Rattus norvegicus: one gene and its partner. The protein of the gene in region 2 purifies or fractionates together with the protein of the main gene of each other region. This does not show direct contact. Links are inferred from orthologs where the notes say so. Each region holds a gene or a part of one and is shown on either strand. Other genes may lie near its edges. The genes, in order: Zfp746 and Eif3l.

The links.
Region 1: the proteins of Eif3l (region 2) and Zfp746 purify together in Homo sapiens (affinity purification with mass spectrometry; 3 studies listed by BioGRID and IntAct, counting the BioPlex papers as one, with this or other methods). This does not show direct contact. The link is inferred for Rattus norvegicus from reciprocal best matches to the Homo sapiens genes EIF3L and ZNF746.

What each region holds. Positions count from the first base shown.
Region 1 is NC_086022.1:78,403,190-78,407,000, forward strand, and holds part of Zfp746 (zinc finger protein 746), read right to left. Parts: intron 3,749-3,811; coding exon 3,449-3,748; intron 3,320-3,448; coding exon 3,238-3,319; intron 2,437-3,237; coding exon 2,323-2,436; intron 1-2,322.
Region 2 is NC_086025.1:112,531,466-112,536,010, reverse strand, and holds the start of Eif3l (eukaryotic translation initiation factor 3 subunit L), read right to left. Parts: upstream 2,998-4,545; 5' UTR 2,880-2,997; coding exon 2,675-2,879; intron 1,707-2,674; coding exon 1,552-1,706; intron 1-1,551. UniProt on the Homo sapiens protein: Component of the eukaryotic translation initiation factor 3 (eIF-3) complex, which is required for several steps in the initiation of protein synthesis.

The DNA of each region.
Region 1 (3,811 bases), on a different chromosome or scaffold from region 2:
GAAACGGATGACTTAGAGGATGTCCTTAGACTATAGTAGCTAGGTGAGCAGAGCTACAATTATGACTTCAGAGCAGCTGACCCAGAACAGCCAGAATAGGAGTTGGAGGGCCCTAAACGAATGTTGTTCTGGAACTGCTGTGTAGTCCAGGCTGGCCTTGAACTCACAAAACTCTGCCTGCCTCTGCCTCCCAAGTGTGGGATCAAAGGTATTACCACTGCCGCCTGGCAGATTCATTTTGTCTTCTGTGTGTGAATGTTCAGCTCATATGTATGTATGTGTACCACATGTGTGCCTGATGCCTAAGGTTGTCAGAAGGTGTCAGATCTCTTACAACTGGAGTTACAGATGGTTGCAAAACACCATGCAGGTGCTAAGAGCAGAACCTGGGTTCTTTTTAAGAGCAACACATGTTGTTAACCACTGAGCTGTCTCTCTAGTCCCTGAGAGTACGTTTTTAAAATTAAAAATGGCCTTTTAATACTAAATTGAAATACTTGGTTTGTGAGCCCTATATAAACAGGGCTAGGTTTGGCCTAGGAGTAGTACTTTATCAACCTCTGAGCTAGTGAGGGAACTGAGGTGATCTGGTGATTGCTGGCTGATAAGGAGCTCCCACTAAATGGTCAGGAATACCAGGTGAGTGCTGCAGGTTTATAGGTTTGCCACTGGCAGCTGTCTGAGTGCAGGTGCAGAGCAGACAGTCAATTTTCGGGATTACAGTTTTGTCAAGCAGAGTGAATATAGGGAAAGTGAGAGGAGGATGAGGAGTATGAAGGCTTAGAAGGTCCTATAGACTGAAGACCTGTTGGATCAGAGGTTCAGACTGGAAGAACCAGGAGCAGTAAGTAGCTGTGGAGTCCATACTAGAAATGTGGAAGGAATAAGGAAGCCATAACCGTGCCAAGACAGTGAAGAGGGTAAAGCCACCACATGGATATAGCAATCAGCAAGAGTAGGGAAGAAGAGGATGGCAAGGTGCTCAGAGGTCTAACATTTTAGCTCTCAAGACAAGGTTTCTAGAGAGAGGGAGGAAGGGAGGGAGGGAGGTAGGTAGGTGTGTGTGTGTTTGAGTGTGCTCATGGGTCAGTGATGAGGAGCAAGGACACCTGACTTTTGAAAGCACAATGCCAAAGCACACGGGAAAGGACAAACAGCTGTAGGGCAGCAGCACGTGGGAAGAGTCAAGACTCAGCCTGAGCTGATAGATGGAATACACTGGACCCAGGAGTACTGCTGTGCATGGTAGGTCCTGTAAAGCACCATGGAGATCACAGGAGGTGAAGAGAAGAGTCCCGACAAGGGCATGCACCAACTCAATCACCCCAGATGACTGGACTGGGGAGGGAAGAGCAGACAGGTTCCAATGGACAATGGAGTGAGGGCTAGCAACTAGCCGTTTCTTGGACCTTATTGTTACAAACATTCAGAAATAAAAGCAGGCACCAGTAACCTCTCACCCTTGGCTTTGGAAGTCAAGGCCATGTGTTCCCCATCTCTTTCAGGGAAAGAACTCAACAGGCACCTTTCCACCATCCAGTTGGCACTGTTCCATGTGCTCAGCTCTAGACTTGTTTCTGCCCTTGTCTGACTTACATGAAGTACACATGTACAACACATAGAAGGTAACCACAGGAAGTCGGAGTGATAGGTCAAGGACACAAACCCAAGGACAGGCAAGGGAGGAGGCAGAGGTTGAGTAGAGACAATGTCTCTCACCAAAGGACCCAGCAAGGTCTTCCTTGCAGCATCCTAGCATCCTGTCCTCCCTAAACATGTAGAGGTGCTGACTGGCTGCAGGGAAATCTCAGACACTGTTTAGTATTAACATCAGCTGAATAAACGCCTGATTCCAATTTCACTGGACCACACAGCTTGACAATGGGTTCTGAAACTCCTAGTTATGTTTAAGGTTGGATGACTCAGGGCTGGGGATTTAGCTCAGTGGTAGAGCGCTTACCTAGGAAGCGCAAGGCCCCTAGGTTCGGTCCCCAGCTCCGAAAAAAAGAACCAAAAAAAAAAAAAAGGTTGGATGACTCCTTCAATGGTTCTGAACAAGCTCGTCTTCTACTCTCTCTCCCTCCCTCTTCTCTCATCCTCTAATTCTGTGCCCCTGCTTCTGGCTCTGCTATCAATGTCCAGGAGGGAAATGACTAGTTTCTACAACATAGCTGAGTAATCCGGAGTTATGACTCAACCATGAAAGATTTAGATTTGAAACGTCCTCTCTGTCTCTAGGAAGAGTCACACTATCCTGGACCTTTACTCTTAAGTGTTCATTTGGTCACTTGCTGTGTCCCTGACCTTTTCCCAACCCTTCACCTGGACTTGGGTCCACAGGAACCTCCGGGACCTTGGGGCCAGTGCGACGCCAGGTGCATGGCTCCTTGCCTTGTTCAATCTGGGAGAGGACCTCGGGTTTGGAGATGGCATAGTCTGAGGAAAGACAGGAGGTTAATCTTGCCACATTCTCATCAGAGCTGGGACAGGCAATAGTAAAATCACTAACAGCCTAGAAACTAAATGTCTTGAGTGGTGCAGAAGAACAGTTATCAATGGTAGGCATTCTCCTCAAAGTCTTCGAGCAGTCCTGTGTAGAGTCCAGAGGGTGGGAAAGGTGCTATTGCACATGAATAATGCAAGTGAAAGACCCTACCCCCTAGTCGTCTGTCCACATAGCTGGTGGTGCTGGACAAGGCATGTCTGCAAAGCAGAATCCCACCAAATACTCTTGGCCAGGAAGGAAGACTAAGAAGAGGGTCTTTCAGAACAGTAGCTCCAGGGGTGGGAGGAGCAGGGCTTTGGGGCAGAGAAAGAACGTCTGTCTTGAGAGGCAAGGTCTACTCTATTATCACAGACCCTGTGCTGTGTCACATAAAAGCCATCCAATCCATGTTAAGAGAACAATTCCTTTGCTAAAGTGGAGTTGGTTAAAAATACACTGCAGAGCTGCCAGCACACCTGTACTCCAGTCTCAGCCAAACTGGAGATGTCAATTCTCTGGGCCTAGTGAGAACGGAGGTCACCACTTTCCTCAGTCTGCTACTTCGTCAAGCAGAAGGGAATATCTGACTCTACCTTACAATATGAGGTGGGAAGACAGAAAGGTGGGGGAAAAGGAATCTCCTTGCTCAAATTATCTAGGACTCTGCATATGACTGTCATGAAAACAACCATATCACAAAGGGAGGTCTGGAACTTGTAAAATCATGCTTTCCAGAGGTGTGTTAGGCTTACCCAGGGAAACCAGTGTCTCGTAGTTGCCCCTCATCACATGCTTGTAGAGCTCCTTCTGCCAGTCTTCCAGCTTGCCCCACTCCTGATCAGAGAAACACACAGCCACGTCATCAAAGGTCAGGAGCACCTGAAACCAGTGTCATACTCGCCCACCCTCACACTCTCAGGCATGGACCCTCAGGCTAACCACACCAGGGCTCCCAAAGGCTACCTTGGGGACCTCGCCCTTGCTGCCAGGGGGCAGCCGCAGGATCCAGAAGTTTCGGTTGCGTAGCAGATTCTCCACATTCTCCAGCCGCCGCTGCAGCAGGCCGTACTCCTGCAGCAGGGTTCCCAGCACGGCCCACTTGCCCTCCAGCTGGTTGCTGAACTCCACAGCTGTCTTCTCACAGTCAGCCAGCTTCTTCTCCGCCATCCCAGTTCGACCTTCTAGAGAAAGTAGTCGAGCAGCCTGTGATTCAATTTTCCTTTCCATAGCCTGAATTGTAGCTGCCATTGTCCATGGAGAAATCTTTGAGAAAGAAGAGAAACTAGCATCATTCTTTGCACTGTTGCCCTGAGCCTTCAAGACCCT
Region 2 (4,545 bases):
GTACAGTCATAATCTCATTTGGTAACTAAGCTTAAATCATCTTTGTTTGGGTATAGAATTTATTTGTCAAAAAAGTTTAAAAGTACAAGGTTTAGAGCCAGTCCTTTTATTGTTGTCATTACAAACTTCTGAGTTGATTACACCTGTGAGTTAAGATTCAAATAGCAAAGTCATGGCTCTGAGTTTGTAAGAGTACTTTCAAGATAAAATTTAGGATATGGAGACAATAGTTCAGATTACCTTATATAGATAGATGGTTTTCAAAAACGTCAGATATCCACAAAATTTGAGATTTAAAGTTATTTATCTTTCGTTGAGACATATCTGCTCCTAACAGTTCCCCTTTGGCAGATTTAATGAAGAATTTGAACATCTCTACCTCCAGGTGAGGCAATACTTTGTGGTTAGGCAGCCACTGGACAAAACTGCCTATTTCATCCGCAGACTAATACTGTCTAGAGAAGGACAAATTATGCAGAATAGTTGACTGATAAACTCTGCCAAGACAGGGTGATCAGCCCTTCAAAATCTGCATTTCGAGAGTCTGTCAGTTGATTTTGGGCCAGAAGGCTGAAGACTTGCGCTCACATGTTGCTAACAGGGGACTGTGCTAGTGGAGATTTGTCTCTACAACCTCTCAGTTCTGGAAGCCGTGTTAGGCTTCCCATGTGTATAGATATTTGGTCACTCCCAGACAAGCGCTCTACCACTGAGCTAAATCCCCCAATCCCTTGAAAAGGCTTTTTAACTGGACAAAAAGGGGGAAATGTTGTGGTTTGCCCTGAAGTTATCTGTATTTTGATGCTAATTCCACTGCCCCAAGGACAGCTACCTAGTCTCCGGAATCAGATGACTTCACCAGAACCTCCCCATTGAATTTGTAAAGTACAGGTGAGGGGCAGGTACAGGATAGAAGGAGGCCTGTCATTGGAAGAGAAGGAAGGATGGGCAGGAGAGAAGTTTGAAGGAAGAGGAGGAGACTAGAGGAGAAAGGAAGAGACAGGAGAGAGAAGGTGAGAAGCCATGGCAGGTGATGTTAAGATTCTGCTCTGTGTATTTACAGGTTGTTATTAATGTTCCTAAGGGATGGATGGTTCTGGGCTTTGTATGTTTAAGTGGACAATTATATCTTATCAATTGGGTCAAAGAAAAAAACAAACAAACAAAAAACCCCTACGTGTCTCGGGAATTTGTTTTTGCTTTTGGAGACAGGTTCTTATTTATATAGAAGCCTGGCTGACCTTGAACTTGCTATGGCGACCAGGGTGGCCTTGAACTTGTGGTGCTCCTGCTGCCCATGCTTCCCCAGAGTGCATGCGCAACCCATGCCCAGCTTTAACTCTAGTAAAGAGCTCTCACTCTCGTGTTCTGAAAACAGGACACAGACTCCAAGAGTACTCACTGCAGTATGGCCAGCCAACCAAGTCATCCAGCACAGAGTCTTCAGGCTCAGCTCTCAACCGGTGTGTGGGGTGGGGATAGGGGGTGTTTCCTGGCTACTCAGCAGGTCAGTGTTCTTGAAGTCGGAACAGAGGAGACAGGTGTACTTACTTTCTTGTTTAGCTCAATATTCTCCAGCACCTTGATAGCCTGGTAGTAATCCCCCAGTAGAGAATGTAGGCGCAGAAGCCCCACCAGGCTGAAGTAGCCAAGCATCTTGTAGAGGGAGTGTCGTCCATATTCCCCAGCCACACTTTCGGGGTCACCTGTGAGGGACAGATGCCATGCTGTTTCCAAGGGGAAGATAAAACAGGCCAGGCCTCCGAAAAAAAGAATAAAAAAAAAAAAACAAAAACAAACAAAAACAAACAAAACAAAACAAAACAAAAACAAAACAAAACAGGCCAGGCCTGACCACCACTGCCAGGTCCCATGTAACCAGGTAACCTCCTATACCACGGAACACCTCTGCCCAGTAATCTCAGGAACCTGAACCTGGCTGTGTTCCCGGCTTCTGCTGACTAACAGCTGCTTTGAGAAGGGCAGTTCATTTGCTGATTGTTTCTGTTCTTATCCTCACATACCTGTTCCTCTTAAATTTGAGTTTGTTCTTGGAACGAGCTTCTGCGCTCCTCCCAGGTGTAGTGAATAGGAGTGGGTTTATTTCAGACTTGGGTTTGTTATTAAAGTTTCCTGCCTGGCGGTGGACAACCCAGCACTCAGGAGGCAGAGGCAGGTGAATCTGAGTTCAAGGACAGCCTGGTCTATGAGGAGAAACCCTGTCTTGAAACATAAATGGTCTGATGCTCCAAGTAGAGCTGGCTTTTGTAGGAGACTTTGGGCTCCCATTTCCCAGGGTCATACCTACAACTAGAGTGGTGACATATAAATAATCAGAACCTTATGGTTCTCAATAAGGAAGAGCGGGTAAAAGGGCTCAGCATTGGCCCAAGTTTCAATCCTGAAATCCATGTTACGGTAGAAGGCATCAACTTCTGCACGAGCTCACGCGCCCACCATCATTCACACATATTCACAGTATTTTTTTTGGTTTTTTTTTGGAGCTGGGGACCGAACCCAGGGCCTAAGCGCTCTACCACTGAGCTAAATCCCCAACCCACAGTATTTTTTTTAACATATAAGGCATTTCCAACAAAAACTCTGAGCGGTATTAATCCAGACAAAGGTTCAAGACACAGCGGCAGTGGAACAGGCAGATCTCAGACACACTCACCTCCACTGGTGTACACCTCCAGCTGCCGGTTGATGTTGGATTTGTCCACCAGAGAATGCAGCACGTTGAGGACGCTGTGCACGTTCCAGATCTTAGGGTTGGATCTCAGGAAGTCGATCTCTTCCTCTGACTTCTTGGCCGTCTTGCAGCGATACTGACTGAATGACTGGAACTGTTGCAGAAGGAAACAATGTGGCAGGGGCATAAATCCAAGTGACAGTCACATGCGGAGAATGATGTGACACGGGCTTTCATTAAACTTTTCAGAGGTGGAAATAGCAAAGCTATCTGGCTCAGGTGGCCTCAAACTTCCACACATCCTGTTTTTGCCTAAGTACTGGGATGAAGACGAAGGGTATGTCTTCAAGTCACAGCAGATGGTGAAATAAAGCATCAACTGTAGGGCTGGAGAGCTGGCTCAGTGGTAAAGAACACTCTTTCAGAGGTCCTGAGTTCAAATCCCAGCACCCACATGGTGGCTCACAGCCATCTGGAATGGGGATCCGATGCCCTCTTCTGGCACAAAGGTTCCAGATAGAACACTTGCACATGAAAGAAATAAACCTTAAAAAAAAGCATATTACTTTAAGTAACAGATAAATTCATATAAACACCTATGCGCCAATGTCCCGAGACTTACTGATACAAACAGGCACTTTCATGTTATCTGAGGACTGAAAACACTAAACTACACCAAAAAGGGTGGTAGCAAGTGTCTTTAATCCCAGCAGCAGAAGGTAGATGTCTGTGGATTCAAGTGCAGCCAGGTTCACAAAGTGAGTTCCACATAGTAAAACCCTGTCTCAATTTAAAAGAAAAGAGTGCCAAGAAGGTGCCACACCCACTGTCTAGTGTGCTGGCCTGAAGACTCTCAAGGGCACTTACTGACTGATCCTCAAAGCCCTTAACAAAAGAACAGCAGCTAAGCCAAGGGATTATGCTTATCTTGGGATACAGCTTGGCCGGAGGATTCTCCTCCTTTCTCCTGAGTCAAAAGGTCAGCCAACGGGGTTGGGGATTTAGCTCAGTGGTAGAGCGCTTGCCTAGGAAGCGCAAGGCCCTGGGTTCGGTCCCCAGCTCCGAAAAAAAGAACCAAAATAAAAAAAAAAAAAAAAAAAAAAAAAAAAAGAAAATGTGTGCTTGCTGCCTCCTAAGAGGTAAGGTGCTAGGGTCATGGGATGCTGATTCATAGGACAATCGAAGGAATCCTGGAGTAAAAGACAAGACTGATATGTAAAAACAAACAAACAAACAAACAAACAAACAAAAACCGAAAAACCTAGGCGAGGTGAGCCAGCAGAGAGCAATGGCAGTTCTTTAGAATTTTTCTCTACTGAGAGCAGAGTTGTCCGGAGATCTCTGGAGAGCAAAAGCAGCTCTTCAAGAATTCTTTTCTGGGGCTGGGGATTTAGCTCAGTGGTAGAGCGCTTACCTAGGAAGCGCAAGGCCCTGGGTTCGGTCCCCAGCTCCGAAAAAAAGAAAAAAAAAAAAAAAAAAAAAAAAAGGTCAGCCAACTATTCTCTTCAGAAAACCATTCTAACCCAGAGCCCAGAGCCCCAGGGCCTCAGGGCCCCAGGGCCACGCAGCCATGATAGAGACATAATTCAACACCGACTATAGCTACTGTCTGTTGAATTACTTATTTGAGGTTAAGGCTGAGGCTGAACAGACAGACACCTGGTAGATGAACTCATCGATGATGTCCCAGAGCCACTGGTTGGGGAGTTCAAGGGGAGCAGGTCCATCAGCGTCTATAGAGAGAACAAGAAAGTCAGATTCCAGGCAGGGACTTGTCGTCTATCAGAGCAGGGCTACAGAGTGCTCATCGTAATCTCCCTCATCAAAAGAACCACCAAACCTCCCTTCTCCCC